2 linked regions of the Oryctolagus cuniculus genome follow. The protein of the gene in region 2 purifies or fractionates together with the protein of the main gene of each other region. This does not show direct contact. Links are inferred from orthologs where the notes say so. Each region holds a gene or a part of one and is shown on either strand. Other genes may lie near its edges. The genes, in order: AMOT and WWC1.

Region 1 (4,354 bases), on a different chromosome or scaffold from region 2:
GCAAAGGACAATTTCTACCAGACAGTCCTAAAGAATAGACTGTTCTCATGCATTCCAAATGCTCAGTCTCCATGGAGGAGGCTACCTGGTCACAAGCATTTCCCAAGAGGGAATATATCCTCTACTCTTCTTCATTGATAACAATCCCCCCCATCCCACCCCTCCCTAACCCTCCCCCAAACAAAACAAAACAAAACAACTTTGAATCATCCTGAGAACTTCAGGGAATTTTTCTGGGGTAAAGGAAAAGAAACGCTAAGAGGGGAGCAGGAGGGTGTGAGAAACTCCTCTTGTCTCCAAATGGGGGGAAAATGCCTTAAAAAGCTGGATCAAAGAGAAAAAGGGGGATGGGGGAAAGAGGGGCTGCTTAATTACAAAGACACCCTTTTAAAGAAGGCACAGGCCCTGGGAGAGGGCTCTCAGGAGAGGCCCAGAAGCAGATGTACCCACTTAGAATTCTGGCACTCAATGGGATCTCAAAGTCATAGCATCCATCCCTCTGCCTTCTGATTAGAAGTTCTTAAAGCATCCTAGAGAGAATCTGATTCATTCTTTACAAAACTTCAGAGAAAGCAACTCCACAGAATTCCCTAGTTATTCATTAGTCAAATAAACTATACTTCATAAACCAGAAATGAGATTTTAATTTCCAAACTCAACACAGTATTGAATATGAATTTTGACTGTTTGCTTTCTAAAAATCTCTTTCAATAGGTAAACAGATCTACAACTCTCACGTAAAAGTTACTCTACACAGAAATGTGGTCAGAGATTGACTTCACATCTAGATTGTGAAGTTAGAAAAATGCACTTTCAATTTTACAGAGCTACAAACTTTTCCGAAGAACAAAGAACTCCAAATGAATTATGATGTAGTGCCAGAATGTCTGTAAATGATACCGGATAAACCCATACAGAATAGCTGGAACTTGAGGTATCCTCTGTAAATAGATGCAACTACTCTACAACCACCTGGCTATTAAAATGTCCTAGGCAGTTACAAAATGTAGTTTGGTTAAGTAAGCTTTCCCTCCCAGCTGATCTGAAACCTGATAGTCTTTAAAATCATCTCCATGTAACGTTCCTGCTCCACCTTCCTGCTTTCTTTTCTTCCATTAAAACCAACCAAAGAATTTATTTTAAAATGTAAGTAATTTGTTCCCAAACAAGTCACAGGTTGGGGATATCTGAATGCCCCAATTCTCATAAACTTGACACCCTTGTCCAATTGAAGATAGGTGAAAGATGGGTGAAAATTTATCCCACATCCAAAATGGCATTTCAAACTATTCTTAGCTACTAAATGAGGGTGCTGAAAGGTCTAACTGAGAAGGCTTCACAAAGGCTGGCCTGAGAAAGAACTTTTTACAAAGCCTAGCTCAAGGAGACTTAAATACACTTAGCCCTTCATCATTGAAGATTATGGTGACTAATTATCTTCCTCTCTGAATGGGAGAGGAAGGTTATATTCATAAGTTTCTAACTGCCCCTTAACGTCCACTCTTCATGTTGAAGGAAGGAGGATAACAGAACTAAATACCCCAAGTTGTCAGAAAATTCTAAAACAAACACAAAATTTGGAAATGCCATTTCTCACCAACTTCTCTTTCCTCTCATTAATTTGTATTTAGTTCCTTGTGTAAATTATTATATATGATTATTAGTGGTGAGAATTTACCAGGGACAGCTCAGTCTATAAAATTTCTCATTTCCCTCCCACTTTTTCTGCTCATTATTTTCTTGCATTCATGAAGCCCATCTTACTGTTGAAGCGCCAAATTACAGTGGTCCAGATGTGAACCCTCAAAGTACCTGCCCAATCGTGCAACATTGCTTTCTAATATATTTGAATTTTCAATAGCACTTAGAAGCAACCACCACCTCCACCACATACACACACAAACACACACAGAGAGAGAGAGAGCAGAGAGAGAGAGAGAGAGAGAGAGAGAGAGAAAGCAGCGTTGTACTGCAGATTACTTCTAGACTTTAAAACTTCAAGAAATCACGCCCTCGGGCTCAGGGAGTGTAAGCACCCACCCTAACCCTAAACACTTGAAAGAGGCCCAGCCAGTTATCAGAGGTAAGAGCAGACATTCATGCTGGGCTGAAGGTAGAGCTCAGCTTCTTTGGGTCTTTAGTTTCTTAGGTGATTAATTACCCTAGAGACCTACAAGAACCCCAGGAGTCAATTAAGTACCACCAAGTCCTGGTACCCACTAGCATCTCCTAGCCAAAGTAGGACGGGAAACGAGCGCAGTAGTCTTTAATCAATTTAACTCGCTGCATATCCCAGAAAACTCTCGGCCAGATGTAAAGAAAGTGGAACACATGGGCATTGCCACACGCAGCTAAATCGACTCACTCATGCCGAGGGCACGACCAAGTTCATGCCACCATGGATTCCTGACCCAGCTCCCCGCAAAAAGTAACCACGCGTCTCCTACCCCTGAAGGCAACGAAGACAAGGTGACGACTCTCTGCTGGCTCAAGTGGCTTCAGTCCCGGGCCAACGGCCAGGGATGGGCAGGGGGGAAGCCCCAAGTCCCGGCTGCTCCCCTCCTCGTTGCTCCGTCCGGGCTCTCCTTGGTGGCAGTGGACAGGCAGGATACCGGGCCGGAGGGTGGAGCAGCGGATGGTGGGAGGCGAGATAGACTGGAGGTGGTGGTAGTGGGGGAGAGACGGTGAGAACTAAGAGGAGACGAAAGAGAGAGGAGATGAAGAAGTAATTCAGGGGGTCTACCCGTTTAGGCAGCCAGAAAGCTCCTCGGAAGGAAGGGGCGTGACTGCGATGAAGGCAGCTCCTGGGCAAAGGATGGGAGGTAGGGGAGGGGGAGGAATGGGTGGCTTTTCTTCTTGCGGTGAGCGGCTAGGACCGCCCAGGAGCGGGGGGTGGGCCACGGAGTGGGGCGGAGTAGAGGGCGGGGAAAGAAGGGTGGGAGCCGGCCTGGACCACGGGAGGGGGGCCGGGCGCGGAAGACAGGCGGGGCAGGGGGCGGGGAAGTTTCAAACAATTGAACTCTGGGTCCCTGAGCTTGCGGGGGAGGGGGAGTAACGGAGGACCCTAGCTCTTGCCCTCCCACTTGCCGGGAGTGCCTCGGTTATGGCAGCTTGGACAGCCTACGCAGGCACTGGCTGGGAGGAAGGAGAGGGTTTTGTCAAGACGGCCAATAATACTCTCAGGGCATAGCGCAGCCGAGTCGTGTGGGAGACCCAGTGCAGTTCCCGGCCACACTGCAGGAGGAAAAAGAAACAAATAATAGAAATGCTGAAAAGCTACTACCACCAAAGCCTGGCTAAAATAAGGCACGAGGAAGCAGCGTTCCTTCCTTTCCCTTCCCCTCTTGCTTCCTATTACCAGCAGGCCTCCACCCAGGTCACAGCTTTGCGAGACACCCTCTTTTCTTCCTCTGCTCCCCCACCTACCCCACCCCCGCGCCCCTCCCCTCGGTCAACTTCGGAGGCGGCAGGGGGCGTGGGCGGGGCCCTGCAGAGGCACCGCCCCTAGGGTGGGCTGGGAGCGACGGGCTGGGCGGGCGGAGCGAACCCTGAAGCAAGTTCCAACCCACCGCTATTTTGCGGTTACCCGTTGGCTAGTCCTAGCTTAGGGTTCGTTTTCGATTGGTCCCTTAAGACGCCAGTCCCATCCTTTTGTCCCACCCGTCCTCAAAATTCGTGAAAACGAAACAAGAGGCTATTGTCTAGCTCTGTTCTCTCGCAGCTGCTGCTGGGAAGCGAAAGATGAGAAACTTGATTTCTGTCTGGTAAAAGTGCGACGATGTGTCTGCGGACTCCCTGTACACCTTTATGTTTATGGCACTCTCCAGGCCGCTAGAAGTAGATAACTTTTCTGCCTCCTTACTTCATTAAACCAGGAGGAGAGAAAAGTGCGTGCAGTGTCAATGTGGTGTTCCCATTACCTGGCTGCGAAAAATCAATATTGCTGAAGATCATGGGGGTTTGAAAATATCATCCTGGGACACGAAAATTACCATTTTACATCAGGGGAAAAGAAAGCACAGAGAAACAGTGAAGGGGTAGCCGAATAACAGGAAATTTGGAACCATAGCAAGAATTTATCTGGGACTCTGATGCTTAGTAGCTAGTTTGCGACTTTTAAGTGGCTTAACTTCTCAGCCTTCATTTTCCTGTAAATAAAAGCTATTAAGACATGCCCTGTTAACCTAAAGGGACTGGTGTGAAAATGCAATGAAATGTGTGTGAAAACGCTAAACCACAAAGCAAAGCACTCCACACATGTATGTGTTTATCCTTGTGAATCACACATGGTGGAAAGTCTCACATGTGTTTGGAAATCAAACGTTCTTCTCATCTGTTTAAGCATTTACATCCA
Region 2 (3,807 bases):
TCTCCATTCTCCCCCGGCAGAGAAGACCACGCATTAGCCCTTGTAACCAGGGGGAGAGAGAAGGGTTCCAGAAGACACAGGCTAACTGCCGAGCAGCACTGAGGCCCCCTGGGCAGGAAGAGATCACAATTTCCAACACTGCCTGCCACAGTGTGCGTGTTCCCACCAAACTCAGGCTGAAATTCCATCACTCCTAGGAGATGCTAAGAGAACAGAGACTTAAGCAGAGTATCGTACTTGGAGGTGGGACCCTCTGGAGGTGGTAAGATTAAATGAGGCCATAGGGATGGGACCCTAAGGCAACAGGACTGTGGCTTTATCCAAAGAGGAGGAGAGACCCAGCCGGGACCTTCTGTCTGCTGTGGGATGCACTGTGTCACCTTGGGACTCCGCAGAGTCTTTACCAGCAGAGAAGCCCTCACTCAGTGTAGTTACCTGATCTTGAACTTCCCTGCCTGCACAACTGTGAGCAGAATAAACCTTTAGTTTTTACAAATGACTCAGACTGCGATGCTCAGTTATAGTTACAGAAAGTAGACAGCACGGACGGAGACAGCACAATACATACAGCTGGGTTGTGAGCATTTGTTCCCACTCGTCAGATGGAAAGGAAGGAAAGGGCTGGGACACGGCCCAGTGAGCGTGGCCATGTGAGATGGGCCAGGGGAACCATCACAATGTAAACCAGACCTGGCAGTGGGTCCGCCCGGGCAGAGCATGAGCTGTGTGGCAAAGCTTAGCAGGTGCACAGGGGGCAACCAGGACTCCTGTGAAGCCACAGTGAGCATACTCTGTACTTGCAACAGGCAGGGAAGGCGGGCCTCATGTTCCCCCAAAACCTTGATCTGGGTCAGGGGATATGAGAGTCACTCAGAGCAACCCCAAGAGGTAGGAAAGTGCAGTGGCTACACACAAGGAAGCTACAAACCCTGGCTTCTCCATCGACTTGCTGGAGGATCTGCAGAAGTAAATCAGCCTTTGGCAGAGGGAGGTCACCCCACTACTTCCTCTCAGAGCTACCATGAGGATGCACTGAGATACTGCACACAGAGTTCCTGGCCAAGGGCAGACACCCAGACGCCGCCCAGTGAGGGGACTGCTGCTGCCTGGCTGACCACAGGGCTCCCAGCAGACGCACAAGGCAGGGAGGCTCTGGGTGGCAGAAGACAATCCCTGTCTCCTCCCGTCTCACTTCCTCTCACCACCAAAACATGACAGCCTGACACTCCACGTCCCCATGGCATACGGAAAGGGAGAGCTCCGATTGGCCCCGGACAGAGACAAGCCACAGGGAGATGAGCGCTTTGGCTGCTGCCATGGCAACCAGCAATGGCCAGACTTCAATTAGGAAGGAGGAATAAAAGGCATCCAATTAGGAGGAGAAAATAGCACGAGTCTCCTCGGATTTAGGAATGCCCAGGGCTGAGCAAATGCTCCACTGGAGGCGCCTGGGTGTGGAAAAGCTTTCTGCTGTAACCGAAATGCCCACCACGCTGGCCTGACCCTGGACATCACACTTCCACTCCCACCGACGCTCTCCAGGAAATCCTGAGCAGAGATGGACCCGCCTGGAGTCCAATAAGGCTCCTGCCACTCTCTGACTGTGTGACTACAGGGAAGGTCTTTTGCCACTGTGTGCCTCAGTTTCCCCTCTGGTACACATGACCTGTTTTGTAAGGTTGAAGTGAGCCAGCACACTAAAGCACTTAGCTCAGAGTCCACGAGTTATCATCAAAATTGTCTCAGGGTAGGCATGCAGTCTAGTGGTTAAAAGGCAAGTTAAAAGGTATTTAGGTTTGATTCCCAGCTCTGCCTCCTGACTCCAGCTTCCTGCTAATGTGCGCCCCAGGGGACAGCAGTGACAGCTCAAGTAGTTGGGTTCCTGCGACCCACATGGGAGACTGAGGTTGAGTTCCTGGCTCCTGGCTTCAGCCCATCCAGGTCCTAGCTGTTCTGGGCATTGGAGAGTGACCCACTAGATGGGAGCTGGCTTTATTTTGGCTCTCTCCATCTGTCAGCCTCTCAAACTTAAAAAACAAAACCAATAAATAAATAAACAAAATACTCTATCCTCTAGAATGGCACCAGGGCTAACAAAGACTTCACTTCTTTGATTTGTATGTCACAAGCCCCTGAGTTTAACATAAATCCCCCTTTCATCTACGAGGTGGCTGACCAACATCCACCTGTACATGTGGCTGCTGGTCCCTAAGGACAGGACACACACAGACCCCAGGCTCCTTCATATCCGATCCTGACTCCTGCTAGTGCAGTGGGTGGGAGGAAGCCACATGAGCTCTGTTCCAGGGAGTGGACCAGTAAGGGCCCCGCTGCACGAGAGCCTTCTGTGTGTCAGGCATGGCAGCAGGTGCTTTTCCTGTACTGACTCCCTGGATCCAAGTAACAACTTCCCTAGTGGGCATCACTAGGGCATTTTATGGATGAAAAAACAGAGCACCAGAGATGTTAAGTCCACTGCCCAAGGCCACCCAGCTATATAGCAAGAAGAACTGCTTGTTCTCATTATTCAGTGTTTCTTGTCTCATCCTTAATGCTGCACAGGTAAGCTGTGGTCTGTGGCTGGCATCTCCTGCATTTCTCTCAGGCCCACTACTCTTCCTCTTATGAGGAAAAGTATCTCTGTCTAGAAGCCAACGAACTTGACCGGTGATTCGACCTGGGCCTCCTTCTCGCCTTCTCTCTGCAGCCTGGGGTGGACCAATCCCCAGAAGGCTAGAAGGCTAGAAAGACAGAGGGACAGACGGAGATACGCTCTCACCAGGCACTCCTCTAGATGGCTCCTGTCCGTGGTACAGACGTCGACTCTTAAGGTCTTCTGGTGTAGGGCTGGGTAGGACATGGACACCCAGAATACCTCGTTGAACACCAGGGTGTCCGAGGCGTCCAGGGGCGGCGTCCGGAACAGGCAGGTGGTGCTTTCGGAGCAAGGAAGGATAACCACGCGAACGTTCCTACAGGGAGACAGGGTGGCAGGAGAGCTTGGGTCAGCACAGGTCTGGGGCTACTGTGTTGGGTGAAATAGCCGCTGAATCTCCAAGATTCACAGTGGCTGTGAATGTGCAAATTTCTCAAGTTGCTACACGGGTACTTGTGAGCGATGCAGGATATGCCGCTGAGGGGCATGCACGCCCTTCCTGTCCCTGAATCCCCCGCTCCATACAACCGGAGCCCGAGGCCAGCAGCAGCCAGTGCTTGCTGACACCGGGGAATCTGCCCCTCCTACCCCAAGAGGCAAATGCAACAAAACCTTCCTTGTGCAGGGGAATTCGATAAGCCCAAGAAAACTATAGCTGTGCTGGCCCTCTCTTCTAGGCACTGTCCCCCTGATACCGTGGACAAGGACCAGTGAGACAGACCAGGAGAAGGATGTTCACCCCGGCACTGCCGACACCTGCAGAGGACTGAAGACCCCCGAGCATCCAGTCTCGTCCTCCTTCTGTTTTGTCTGCTTTCCTTTCCCTGCCATTCCTCTCCCCCAGACGCTGGCTGGGTACAGACCAGAGAAGCAGGAGCTCCCGTGGCTGCCCTTATGGCCTAGGATGGTCCCGTTACAGGAGAAGCAAGTAGGCAGACGCGTGCCATCAGATGCAAACCTCGTCTACAACGGGAGAGCCAACACGCAGATGGTGCAGGTGTCTGTTGGCTGATCAGCCTGTCGGTAATCCCAGCCATACCCTGGCACGGGGAGCACAGGAACTGGCGCTGACCCTTGAGAAGCCAGGACTCACTCCTTTCTAGGTGCAACACTTGAGCTCAGAGATCTACCTGACTGTGACCATTCCTTCT

Evidence for each region.
Region 1: the proteins of WWC1 (region 2) and AMOT purify together in Homo sapiens (affinity purification with mass spectrometry; 3 studies listed by BioGRID and IntAct, with this or other methods). This does not show direct contact. The link is inferred for Oryctolagus cuniculus from reciprocal best matches to the Homo sapiens genes WWC1 and AMOT.

Annotation. Positions count from the first base shown.
Region 1 is NC_091453.1:80,509,554-80,513,907, reverse strand, and holds the start of AMOT (angiomotin), read right to left. Parts: upstream 2,912-4,354; 5' UTR 2,448-2,911; intron 1-2,447.
Region 2 is NC_091437.1:55,263,363-55,267,169, reverse strand, and holds part of WWC1 (protein KIBRA), read right to left. Parts: intron 2,973-3,807; coding exon 2,780-2,972; intron 1-2,779. UniProt on the Homo sapiens protein: Regulator of the Hippo signaling pathway, also known as the Salvador-Warts-Hippo (SWH) pathway.